Canis lupus familiaris: one gene and its partner. The protein of the gene in region 1 purifies or fractionates together with the protein of each later gene. This does not show direct contact. Links are inferred from orthologs where the notes say so. Each region holds a gene or a part of one and is shown in the gene's direction. Other genes may lie near its edges.

Evidence for each region. Proteins that work in one complex are often made in the same cells at the same time.
Region 2: the proteins of PTPN21 (region 1) and TRIP6 purify together in Homo sapiens (affinity purification with mass spectrometry; 3 studies listed by BioGRID and IntAct, with this or other methods). This does not show direct contact. The link is inferred for Canis lupus familiaris from reciprocal best matches to the Homo sapiens genes PTPN21 and TRIP6.

Annotation. Positions count from the first base shown.
Region 1 is NC_049229.1:60,033,666-60,039,891, reverse strand, and holds the end of PTPN21 (tyrosine-protein phosphatase non-receptor type 21), read left to right. Parts: intron 1-1,349; coding exon 1,350-1,478; intron 1,479-1,666; coding exon 1,667-1,901; intron 1,902-2,285; coding exon 2,286-2,446; intron 2,447-2,664; coding exon 2,665-2,793; 3' UTR 2,794-5,101; downstream 5,102-6,226.
Region 2 is NC_049227.1:8,842,313-8,849,317, reverse strand, and holds TRIP6 (thyroid receptor-interacting protein 6), read left to right. Parts: upstream 1-2,717; 5' UTR 2,718-3,021; coding exon 3,022-3,130; intron 3,131-3,388; coding exon 3,389-3,516; intron 3,517-3,602; coding exon 3,603-3,728; intron 3,729-4,015; coding exon 4,016-4,393; intron 4,394-4,685; coding exon 4,686-4,779; intron 4,780-4,888; coding exon 4,889-5,058; intron 5,059-5,784; coding exon 5,785-5,963; intron 5,964-6,227; coding exon 6,228-6,348; intron 6,349-6,459; coding exon 6,460-6,591; 3' UTR 6,592-6,730; downstream 6,731-7,005. Other genes in the region: SLC12A9 (solute carrier family 12 member 9), read left to right, coding at 1,282-2,174. UniProt on the Homo sapiens protein: Relays signals from the cell surface to the nucleus to weaken adherens junction and promote actin cytoskeleton reorganization and cell invasiveness. Involved in lysophosphatidic acid-induced cell adhesion and migration.

The DNA of each region.
Region 1 (6,226 bases):
TCATGATCCTGGGGTCCTGGGATCGAGTCCCGCATCGGGCTCCTTCTGCCTGTGTCTCTGCCTCTCTCTGTGTCTCTCATGAGTAAATAATATCTTAAAAAAAAAATAATTTGGGTATAATTTATTTAAAAACCAAGCATTTCTGTGGAATAACTCATCCAGCCTCTTGTGACTGGATGGGTGAGAACTGAATCAAGTTGTCCTGTGTGGGTATTGCAGAAGCTACCGAGGTCAGCTGAAGAGCATGGAAGATGGCCAAGCCTCAGAGCTCCTAGATCTGTTACCTGTCAGCATGGGGCTCCCTGTGCTTTCCTCTGAATAAAGCGCTGACACCTCCCCTGGGGTGGCCCCAGACCCCCACCCACACCCTGTTACTCACTGTGGTGCTGGTAGCACCGAGGGAGCCCCTCTCAGTGAGATTCCAGCCGGTGGCCCTGAATGAAAGTATGGGCAGAATAACCCAGGCACTGTGGTCACCAACATGGGGCGGGGGGGGGGGGGGGGGGGCGGTGGGCTTTAACCCAATCTCCTGGCCGTAGATCCAGCAATGGCTCTGTTCCCTTAGACTGTCCTCAAGGGGATGCAGCCTCAGGTGGAAGCTTAGTGTCATTCTGGAGGGTGACCTTGACTTAGAAGTTCAGAGGGGAGACCACTTTCAGTAGGAGTATTTTTTTCTGCCCCAGAAATCTGGCATTTAACCTCGGTTTTGGCTGGATTGTTACTACTTTGCCTACTGTGTTTAGTACTTCATGAAGGGAAACTGTGTTTGAAATTTAGGATACTGTTATGGTGATACTGTTTTTCTAAGAAGAACCGTAACAGCAGCACTAACAACTGTGTATGGAAAACCTATTGATGTGCAAGCACCTTATACACTGACTAATTTAGTCCTGCCAACCACCCTATGAGGTACAGGACATTTTTATCTTACACATGTGAATAGAGAGAGAGGTTAAGCAAATTGCCCCAGGTCATGTAGATATGTGAATTTAGAGTCCATACATTTATAATCCGGTAGTAATAGGAATTGTATTAACAAGGAAAAAGAATAAGAGAAATCTTTATTCTGAATAACTCATTTTTTAGTACCACCATAAATGAATGTGCATACATGTATGCATATCTACATAAATACACATTGATTAATTTTTAAAGATTTATTTATTTAGAGAGAAAGAGGTTGAGAATCCTACGCAGACTCCCCACTGAGCTGCGTGCCCAGCATGGGGCTCAATCATACGACCCTAAGATTATGACCTGAGCTGAAATCTAGGGTCGGCTGCTTAATTAACTGAGCTACCTGGGCGCCCCACATATTAATTTCTTTAAAAAATCTTTTCTAATTTCAGGTCTCTGTCAGTGGAATTGAGTGGGATTATATTGCCACGCAGGGACCGTTACAGAATACCTGTCAGGATTTTTGGCAGATGGTGTGGGAACAGGGAGTGGCCATTATAGCAATGGTGACTGCAGAGGAGGTAAGGACTCATCTCTCTTCCTTGATTTGGTCAGCCTGAGAGGAGCAGTTAATGTTGGTCACGGGGAGTCCTGGCCTTGAAGGAAGAAGGCAGAGTGGGGTTGCAGTTCTGTGCTGCAGACACACTGCGTGATGGGGCCCCCGTGGCTGGATGCAGTGCTGCGTCCTGACCGTGCCTGCCTTTAACAGGAGGGTGGAAGGGAGAAGAGCTTCAGGTATTGGCCACGACTTGGTTCCCGTCACAACACCGTCACCTATGGGAGGTTTAAGATCACAACCCGGTTCCGCACGGACTCTGGCTGCTACGCCACCACAGGCCTGAAGATGAAGCACCTGCTCACGGGGCAGGAGAGGACAGTGTGGCATCTCCAGTACACAGACTGGCCTGAGCATGGCTGTCCAGAGGACCTCAAGGGATTTTTATGTAAGTATCTTCGTTCCCAGCACAATCTCTGCTTAAAGCATCCACATGGAGGAAGACTTAGGCTTTAGAGATATTTCCTTTATGTTATCTCACAGAAGCTTCGGGCTTGCTTTAAAATAAGGGCGTTAAGTGTTTAGAGGAGAGTGCTGGAACTGACTCCTAGAGACTGTCTCCTCCATTTCATTTTGTAGAGGGGCAGTTGGAAGTCGGGGCAGAGGCAGTGACTCGCCCACAGTCACACTGTCAGTGAGGGGTGGGAGGTGGTTAATTGGCACCCTACGCTCTCTATCTGGAGTCCTCCCCATCAGTGATGGTAATCTGGAAACTGTCAATTTGATGGGCCTTAATGCCTGTGTATTTTCCTGTTTCATTGATACTTCACAGCATACCTTGAAGAGATCCAGTCTGTTCGACGCCATACGAATAGTACCAGTGAGCCAAGAAGCCCCAACCCTCCGTTGCTGGTCCATTGCAGTGCTGGTGTGGGAAGGACTGGCGTCGTCATCTTGTCAGAGGTCATGATCGCCTGTCTGGAACACAATGAGGTAGCTATGTCCTTTCGTCAGGGCGGAGGAGTGGGCGGGCCCAGGGCTGGGGCACAAAGGACCTAGAGGCCTACCAGTTTTTTCTAAACAAGTTCCCCGGAGGCTTCTTCTAGAAGACGCTGAGGGAGAAAGTGTCCATTTCTTGACCAGATTACTGCCCGTACTCCTCCCCTCTCCGTGGGGGTCAGCACCCCCCTCATCGCTGTCTCTCCCTCCAGGTGCTGGACATCCCAAGGGTGCTTGACATGCTGAGGCAACAGAGGATGATGATGGTGCAGACCCTCTGCCAGTACACATTCGTGTACCGAGTCCTCATTCAGTTCCTGAAAAGCTCCAGGCTCATCTGAACTCCCACAGCTTGTTATGGGGACCCAATCTTGTGAAGCGTTTACAGCTGAAAACAAGTGCTCGCCTAACTCGTCCTTCCTCACCGGATACCCGAGAGGCAGCGCGCTGCCTGGGCCTGAAGGACGGCCCCATGAAGGCAGCGTGTGGAGGGGGCCAGGCCGGGCGTCTGAGCCTGGGAAAGATGCTGAGGAGAAGGACTTGGTCCCGAGGGCCCAGCCCCACTCCCATCTGTCCGACTTGCAGCACTTGCACACTTTGTGGAGGTTGTTTTCTAGACAATTCTCTGTGGTACTGAAGCTGTGCCGGGCAACTCTGGCAATCAGTGAGGCGCATAGATTTCTATCTTTGTTAATGGAATTTTATTTTATAACTAAAGTATTTGGGGTTTTCTTGTTGAGAAACTGAACTTTTCTGCGGGGATGGTCCACAGGTGTGATTGGTTCCTCTAGAAGTTTGTATTTAAAACCGTTACTATCTCTTGTTATTTTTTAAATAAAACCTTAACAGTTTAGCTACCAAACCTAAAACTACAAGAAGAATCTAAAAGTGTTATTTTGAAACAGAAGGCATTTTTATATTAAGAAAATTTTTTATCCTGAAATACTCTATATTTGTACCTTCTATATTTTCCAAACAAGAGTTCAACTCATTAAGGTACTGAAATAAATCATTTACTGTAAGAGAAAGTTGGGAACGAAGGCACATTGTCGAAAATGTAAGACAATAATCAGATTCACTCCTTTTTTCAGTATTATTTGTAAACCTAAGCGAGTTTGATTTTATTGGTTGAAAATGAAGTGAAAACCAATTGCATAGGTGGTTTTAAGCACTTTGTTGTTAAAGACAAATCTGAGTTTTGATGTATGTATTGCTTGATAGATGAAACAGTAACAGCGAATTTTGTTCAGAAGAAGTGCTCTGGAAGAGATAAGGAGTAAGCAAGCGTATGTCGGATGTCAGGGCAAGAGGAAGTGTAGCGGAAATGCGCGAGGGCCAGCGTGCGATGCCTGTGACAGAAGTACAGTATTAACCACACTCCGAGAGGCTGGGGTGGTGGCTGAGCCCCCACCTGGTAGGTCCCCCCCCCCCGGAGTTCAAGGGCCGTCACTGTCTGCGACTCACTCTTTCCTTGGAGTTCTTGTACCTAAACTGTCCTTTTTAAATTAAGTCAGGTTTATAGTCTCGTTAAAAGGAGCCTTGAAGAGGCTTTATTTTCTTCTGATTGAAAGAAGGGAAGAGTTGGTAATAGTTTCACCTCATTTCCCAAAACTTCAGCCCCAACTTGTGAGGCCACCAGAGATTGCTGTGCTTTTTGAGAGATGCTGGGGTTTTAGTGCTCGAAGCCCCTACCTTCACCCCGGAGGTCAGTGGGTCAGTGTCAGCTTCTGGGTTCCTCCCCCGGCCCCCCCAGCCCTGTCGCATCCCAATGGCAGAACCCAGCTGAGTTGGGGGGGGGGGGTGTTGCCTTCGGTGCCGGCTAGAAAGGCCTTGCTAAGAGGCCCTCACGGAGGGACTAACGGTCCAGTAACGCTGAGGCGCCATCTTGTTTTTCCTTCTGAGGCTGCTTCTCTGAAATGCGGAGCTTCCAGGGCTCTTCCCCTCATTTCAATATCCTAGGGATGGTTCTGAGTCCCACGTTCGCTCCTATAGCAGTTTAACCCACTGTAGTAACCACTGAGTGTGTGTTTCAGCTGTGAGGCAGGGCTTGCTGCCTACAGGGTCTGCGTATCTCCGGGGTGCCCCGAAACCAACCCCCTGAGGAGAACTCAGAAGATACTAATGACAGTGAGTAGTGGAAGTGGGCACATTGCTCACTTAGGGACAAAATGTTCATTTTAAACCTGAAATTGTTTTAAGACGTCCTGTGTAAGCAACAGTAGACCCAAGTGCAAATACTGAGAGAGGGCTCCCAAAAGAATGGAATAAGAGTTTTATGGTCGTGTTTCCCATCTCCACACATCATGTAAAGGACAGGAATGTTGCTTCTTTTTCTCCTGTGGTATGTTTTTTTAAAAATGCTTTTCTGCAGGTTTAAACATTTTCAAGTGTCCCATTGATAAGAACATACTGTAATGTAAAACAAAGACCTAAAGAGTAATATATGGTATATTTGTGTTCGGTTGTAATAATTATAAGTAAATTACTTCTGAGGGCTAAATTACACTGTTTTAAAGGTCACTCTTAAAATGTCGCATGTTTGACTAGCTTCTAAGACTCATGTAATTTCTTATCCCTTTTGAATATTTAAACTTTTTTTCAGTTAGTATGATATGAAAGTATTTCTGAATAAAAATCGGCATTACTGGACTTTGAAGTAATGTGATTTTCAGGAGCAAACTACAACACTGAGGCTCCGTCGGTTTACCACATCTGATGTCGTCTGCCAAACTTACACAATGTCAGTGTCTTTTAGTTCCTCGAGATTCTAAATTTCAGAGCAAAATGACCTAATGTACATTTTCACAAAAAGTAGGTTATAAACCAGTGTTTTCCAGCGGGTTGATTTTGGCATCTCTGGCATCAGTCTTCCTCATTGGTGGGGTCTTTTGATGAAATATTCTAGCTGAGAGTTTTAAGCACAGAAAGTGTTCATTTGGAATGTAAATTTCAGTGATGATTAACTACTTTCCTCTGGAACACCCACTATGAAGTATTCTGAAAACTCCAGTATTTAGCCTTTAAAACCCTTTGGCAGAATTGAAACAGAAGGTGGATGGACCTGTGCTTCCAGAAGCTTCCAGAAAGAGCAAGGTCTGGGCAGGAACACAGAGGAGGGTGTCAGGGTGTAGGACCAACTTTTTGTGAAGCTTCTGTTAGCAGAAACAAATAGCTCCTTCAGGTGAGTTGATTACGTTAATATTCACAACATTAAGAAAACATTGTATATATTATAGATACAATATAAAACGTGTCTTAAAGTATACAGCTGGACATCAGCTGCCCCTTAGAACGGGTTTGAGATTTTCATGAACAAATGGAAACAAAGGTTACTGTTTATTGTAAATCGTTTTTAAATCACTTTTTTAAAGTTTTAATTTATTTATTCATTTTAAGCAATCTCTGCCCCCCAACATAGGGCTCGGACTCATGACTCCTGAGATCAAGAGTTACATGCTCCTCTGACTGAGCCAGTCAGATGCCCCCAAACCAGACTTTTTGAAGGAATTCTTTAGGATATAAATTTAGGGAACTTGTTTCCCATCAAGATTTCATCTAGAACAAGCCAAAACTATCTTTTTCCAGCTTAAAGTTTATTAGAAAAAAATCAATTAGAGGGGGCTTTTTTTTTTTTTTTTTTTTTAAGATTTATTTATTCATGATAGAGAAAGAGAGGCAGAGACACAGGAGGAGGGAGAAGCAGGCTCCATGCTGCCGGGAGCCCGACGTGGGGCTCGATCCCAGGACTCCAGGATCGCACCCTGGGCCAAAGGC
Region 2 (7,005 bases), on another chromosome or scaffold:
CTACCATATTTATCCCGAGGAAAAATGATTCAAATGAAAGGAAAGGATTTCCTCTAAATAGTAAGTCTTCTTGGAGTGCAGAACTTGATTTATTGGTGGATTTTGAGCAACCCATTCGTTTTACGAGAAAAAGCCTTAGGCAGGATCTCAGAGTCTTTCTGTAAACTCAGCCCTGTTAAAGTGAGCCTGGGGGGCCAGTTATCCAATTTCACAATCAAAAATTTAAAAACCAGGGATCCCTGGGTGGCGCAGCGGTTTGGCGCCTGCCTTTGGCCCAGGGCGCGATCCTGGAGACCCGGGATCGAATCCCACGTCGGGCTCCCGGTGCATGGAGCCTGCTTCTCCCTCTGCCTATGTCTCTGCCTCTCTCTCTCTCTCTCTCTGTGACTATCATAAATAAATAAAAATTAAAAAAAAAAATTTAAAAACCAGGAGCTGTCAGCAGGGACTTGGGGCACTGTGTTTGCTACACACACACACACACACAGGTTCAGAGGCTCAGAGAATGGGCTCTGGTGATGGGCACACTGTGTATACCTGTGGATCCCAGTATCTACCAGCTATGAGCCTTGGGGCAAGTGACTTCACTGCTTTGTGCTTCAGGTTGCTCATCCGTGAAAGGGGTGAGTAAAGAGTGTCTACCTCACAGTGTTGCTTTAAGGATCAGATGAGTTAAAACACAGTGCTTTCAGCAGGACCTAGCTCTTGGTTAGTGTGCAGACCGTAGCTGTTTCTTCCCCAGGGACCATGCTTTGGACCCGCCATCATTAGGGCCCTGCAGTGGTAAGAACAGACCAGGCCAGTTCTCATCCTCCCCCCAGCGGAGTCTGGGGTGCTGTTTCCCTGGGGGATGAGGCCACAAGCTTGACTATTGCTTGCTCAGGGGGTCTGGTCTACCAGTGGAGTCAGACCCTCATCTCCCATCATGAAAAAGAAAGGTGTGCTGCGAGAAGCTTGGGGTGGAGGCATCCTACTGCCATGGTCCAGAAGTGCTCATTAGTTAAGAAGAATTGCTCCTAAGGCAAACTTTGCGTTACGTTTAAGTGGGGGAACATTAGTCATGCAGTTACAACAAATAAAAGTATACAAAAGCATTAAGGAAAACTAAAAGTCATTATGCAAACGTGCAGCCTGGAGAGCCCAAGCACTGTACAAATGCCATACCTGATGGCTGACGTGTGTCGCTGTCAGCGTGTGCAAGTGGGTGCGTATTCGCGTGGTGTAAACTCAGCCTGTGAGTCTGATTCCTGTCTCTTCCCACCTCCCCCTCTCTGCTCCCAGGTGGCATGAAGCCCAACACTTTGGTCCTAGGTTTCTATGATGATGCTGCACCCCAGGACCACTTCCTGACAGACCCGGCTTTCTCCGAGGCTACTGATGGCACCCAGGAGGGTGGGTCCCCAGCCCTGAGCACTCTGTTTCCTCCACCCCGGGCTCCTGGGAGCCCCCGGGCTCTCAGCCCCCAGGACTATGTGGCCACAGTGGCAGACGCCCTCAAGATGAACAAGAATGTGGTTCTGGCCCGGGCCTGTGGGGCCCTGCCCCCGGAGCGGCTGAGCCGGGGTTCAGGGGGTACCTCTCAGCCACATCACGTGGATGTGTGGCCTCTCAACCTGCTGCGGCCCCGGGGTGGGCCTGGCTACGTGGATGTGTGTGGCCTTTTCCTGCTGCAGATGGCAACCATCTTGGGCATGGTGCCTGCTTGGCATAGCGCCCGGCTCCGGATCTTCTTGTGCCTGGGGCCTCGAGAGGCCCCCGGGGCGGCTGAGGGGCGGCTCCGGGCACTGCTGAGCCAGCTGAGGATCAGAGCCGAAGTACAGGAGGTGGTGTGGGGTGAGGGGGCTGGGGCTGGGGAGCCGGAGGAGGAGGAGGAGGAAGGAGACTTTGTGAATGGCAGGCGGGGAGATGCTGAGGCAGAGGCCCTGGCATGCAGTGCTAACGCCCTGGTTCGGGCCCAGCAGGGGCGCGGCAGAGGAGGCGGGCCCGGTGGGCCTGAGGGTGCGGATGGCGAAGGTGGGCCTGCCACAGCCCTCACTTTCCTATACCTGCCTCGGCCGCCCGCCGATCCTGCCTGCTACACTCGCTACCTGGCGCTCCTGGAGACTCTGACCCATGATCTGGGCCCCACGCTACTCATTCACGGAGTCACCCCAGTCACTTGCACTGATCTCTGATGCCCGGGGCCTGGAGCAGAGGGTGCCCAGGTCCGGTGACCTGCTTTGATCAGTGGATGCAGAAGGGAAGGGCAGCCTCCCGCCTGCTCCACGTGTGGGGTGTGGAGCCCTGTGGAAGTACTAGGGGATCCTGGGCTGGGGCACCCCTCTGTCCCTGTGAGAGGGGCTTTAGTGCACTAATGCAGGGCAGCTGTGTCCCCACCACGCTGGGGGAGAAAGGCAGCAGCCCTCCCCACTGGCCTCCCTTCCTTCACTGGTGCCTTGATGGAGGCTGGGTCTCTGCTTTGACTCTCGGCTACCTCAGTCTCCCCTTGCCCAACAGACTCGCAGACCCCTGAGGTTGTGATGTTTTTGTTCTGTTTTATTTTTCTAACCGCTGAACGTGAATAAAAGACCAAAACACTATGGGCTGGCCTGGCTGAGCACTGCTAGGGGCGGTAGGTGGGGCGGGAAGAGAGAGATCTGGTTGGGGGAGTGTGGGAAAGAGCCGCGCTGGAGCGCGTCCCAGCGGCGAGGTGGCCACGTGCGGGACTTGGGGCGCCAGTCTGGGGGAACGAGTGAAACGGAGGCAGCCTTGGAAAGCTCTCCCTGCTCGGCGGGAGGGGGCCGACTGGGGGAGGGACGGCAGTTTAGGGCCTAGGGGGCCACGTGACCCTCCCCCAGGAATGTGGTGACGTCACCGGGGGCGTGGCTGTCCCCAAAATTGGGGAGGAAGGGGAAAAAAAAGGCCAGAAAAAGTTTCTTTCCTGGAGTTCCAAACGAGGTGTGGGACAGAAGAAGGGGCCAAGACCAGAGTCTTGGGGCTACGTGGGGCCTGACCGCTGTCTAGAGTCTCCTGATCCCGGCCATGTCGGGGCCCACCTGGCTCCCCCCAAGGCAGCTGGAGCCTGCAAGAGCCCCTCAGGGGAGAGCACTCCCCCGAGGTGCCCCGGGGCCGCCGCCAGCCCATGGAGCAGGTAAGGCAGCCCCAGTGCCGCCAAGGAGGCCACTGGCCATTCTGAGCTCACCTTCGCCTTCTGGTTCCTGCCTCCTGCCCCTGGCTTGTCCCTGCCACCCCTTCCCTGAAGCCCTTCCGGCTTCCTGCTCCTGCTCTGTTCTGGGACTCCAAGTGTGGGGGGGGAGGGGAGAAGAGTGACCCATGAGGGCGGCCTCCATAAGTGTCACCCTCCCCTCCTTCCCCATCCCCACCTTGGCTCTCTTTTCCCTCACCCTAGCACATCAGCCCCACCCCAGGGTCAATTTTTGCCCCCTCCCATCTGAGCAGTGTTACCAGGCCCCCGGGGGACCAGATGATCGGGGGTTCCCCTGGGTGGGGTGCCATGGAGCACCCCAGCGCTCACAGGTGAGAATTGGAATTGGGAGTGGGTGGGAGGTGGGGGCACCCGGGGCAAGTGACTTGAATTCTCCCTGCTTTTTCTTCATCTCCAGGGGCTCCCCCCAGACAGGGGGGCCTTGCGTCCAGGAAGTCTGGATGCCGAGATAGATTCGCTGACCAGCATGCTGGCTGAGTTGGATGGAGGTCGTGGTCATGCCCCACGGCGGTCAGACCGGCAGGTGACTTCCCTGTCCCACCCCTGTTCCTTGTCTCCTGCCCTCTTCCACACTCCCCATCCTGGTCCTTTCCCTAGATTCTCAACCTGGTACCCTTCACCCTTGCCCCCATGTGTGATACATGCAGGAGTATCACATCTTACTAGATTGTCAGCCTCTTGAGTGCTTGTCAAAGACCAGCACTACCTTGGGGACACACACACACACACACACACACACACACACGTGGGAGGGCCCACAAGTGTGTGTCCTGGAATGGGCCTTCTCACTCCTGGTCTGTTTCTCCCCAGGCTTATGAGCCCCCTCAGCCCCATGCCTACCGCACAGGCTCAGGCTCCCTGAAGCCGAATGGAGGGGGTGTTCCTATTCCTCCCCAACAGCTCTCAGCGTCTCCCTATGGGGGCCCCACTCCAGCCTCCTATGCTACAGCCAGCACCCCCGCTGGCCCTGCCTTCCCTGTGCAAGTGAAGGTGGCACAACCAGTGAGAGGCTGTGGCCCTCCCAGGCGGGGGGCCTCTCAGGCCTCCGGGGCCCTCCCGGGCCCTCACTTTCCTCTCCCAGGCCAAGGTGAAGTCTGGGGGGCTGGCTATAGGAGCCACCATGAGCCAGGGCCAGGGGTTAAAGAGGAGGCTGCAGGAGGAGGAAGAGGAGGCGCGTATGGGCCCCAGGTAAGCCCTAAGTATTGGGATGTGGGGTCCTCATGGACAACTGGACACTGATTGGGTGGGGTGGGGAGTCCTGGGGTGTTGGAGTTCTGGGTCCCAGGGATGTGGCGCTGGTCAGGAAATAGAAGAGGGAGGTGCTGGAGCTGTACACTGGCTCCTGGAGGTGCACCCCTGGGCCCCGGGCTGAGACCTCGTCAGATGAGCTTTCTGCTTGGAACTGCCTGGTCCCCTTCAGGAAAGTCTGACAGCATAGGGAGCTGGAGGTAGGGCTGAACCCCTGACTCCCCCCTTTCAGGTCCCCCTGAACCAGCCTCCTGAGGAAGAGCTTGAGAGGCTGACGAAGAAACTGGTGCATGACATGAACCATCCTCCCACCGGGGAGTACTTTGGTGAGCTGACCTGAGGTGGGAAGGGGGGCAGGGGACTGGGGAGTCAAGGGGACAGCGAATCCACCTTCCATTCTGCATGCTTATTGACCCTGTCCCTCCCTGTCCCCAGGGCGGTGCGGCGGCTGTGGGGAAGATGTGGTTGGGGATGGGGCTGGCGTTGTGGCCCTGGACCGGGTCTTTCACGTTGGCTGCTTCGTGTGCTCTACATGCCGGGCCCAGCTTCGGGGCCAACATTTCTATGCTGTGGAGAGGAGGGCGTACTGTGAGAGCTGCTATGTGGTGAGTGGGTGTGCTGGGGGTGGCCTGGGTGCTGGAGTCTGTAGCAGGAGGCAGGAGGCTTCCATCTAAGGTAGCAGGAGGCAGGAGGCTTCCATCTAAGGTGGAAACTAGATGTCTAAGCACATGAGAGGGACAGAATTCAAAGGTGGGGGATGCCTGGGTGGCCCAGTGGTTGAGCATCTGCTTTCGGCTCAGGTGGTGATCCTGGAGCCCTGGATTGAGTCCCGTATTGGGTTCCCCCCAGGGAGCCTGCTTCTCCCTCTGCCTATGTCTCTACTTCTCTCTCCGTGTCTCTCATGAATAAATAAATAAAGTCTTAAAGGAAAAAAGAACTCCAAGCTGGGGGACTAAACTGATGTGTAAGAAGGAAGGAATTGGGAAAGTAGTGAAATTACTGGCTGCTGGAGGGAAAGGACAATAGTTCCTTACAAATGTGAGAGGAGGAGGAAGAAGAGGAGGAGACCAGACTTATCTTGAGTTAAGGGAATATGTTAAATTTCCACACTGCTGCCCCTGTGAAGCAGCTGATACTACTGTAGGAAACGGAAGTTGAGACTGGATCACTTCTGTAGGAAGCTACAGTGCTGGGACTTAGATCTGTTCAGGGCCACTTTTCACTGAATCCCTTGCAGGCTATAAAAACAGGTGGGTAGGCCAGCAGGGTGCCTGCCAGCCACCGGACCTCCTCAGCCCTGAACTTGCCACCCTTCCTTTCTAATTCGCTAGGCCACCCTGGAGAAGTGCTCCACATGCTCCCAACCCATCCTGGACCGGATCCTGCGGGCCATGGGGAAAGCCTACCACCCTAGCTGCTTTACCTGTGTGGTGTGCCACCGTGGCCTCGACGGCATCCCTTTCACAGTGGATGCCACCAGCCAGATCCACTGCATTGAGGACTTCCACAGGTCAGACTGGGTCTCCCATCTTTCTCGAGACATCTGACCTTCCCCATCTTCTTCATTTCTCCTTTATGTCCCAGTACCAGCTTCTCCAGTTTCCTACCCCGGACTTTGTCTTTCTTGTTACCGTCACTCTCTCTTGTGAGAGCCAAGACCATCCATCCCTCTGGCCTCTCCCGTACCCTTGCATAGCCCACCTTCTCTGGGCTGCACTGTTAGTCCCCTCCAACCCAGGGGCTTGACAGCCTCCGTTGTTCCCTTCCACCCCAGGAAGTTTGCCCCACGGTGCTCAGTGTGTGGTGGGGCCATCATGCCTGAGCCAGGGCAGGAGGAGACGGTACGAATCGTTGCTCTGGATCGCAGTTTTCACATTGGCTGTTACAAGTGCGAGGTCAGGGGGCCCCGGCAAGGGGAATGGGAGATTCTTGGGGTCTGGGGTGCTGGGAATGGTAGAACCCAGGGCTCTGGCCCTGATAGAAAGCTCTTGCTTCTGTCTTAACAGGAGTGTGGGCTGCTCCTCTCCTCCGAGGGCGAGTGTCAGGGCTGCTACCCGCTGGATGGGCACATCTTGTGCAAGGCGTGCAGTGCCTGGCGCATCCAGGAGCTCTCAGCCACTGTCACGACCGACTGCTGAGCCTTCCCAGAACCACCTGTTACGTTTTCCCTTCCCATCAACTACCCTCCCTGACATCTATCCTGACAACTGTGTCACCAAGTACTGTCTCTTCTTCCTCCAATCATGAAATAATAATCCCTCAAGAGTTTACAAAACACTTAAGTGTATTGTCTCATCTGATTCTCACAGCAGCCTAATGCAAACACATTTGTGGTGACTGCGTTTTTACAGAAGCGATCTCAGGTTGCATGGTTTCCTAATGCAGTACCAAGATCAGAACCCGGGTCTCCCTAGACCTAGATTTTTGCAACTCCATTCTACACTCTTGCAAACGTGGTGTAAAGACACCCTTCCTCTCCGTGCTTGGAGTGAGGCTGCAGCATACTCCAAGGAGGCGGCCTTCCCTGTTCTTCAGCCTGGACACTCCACTCC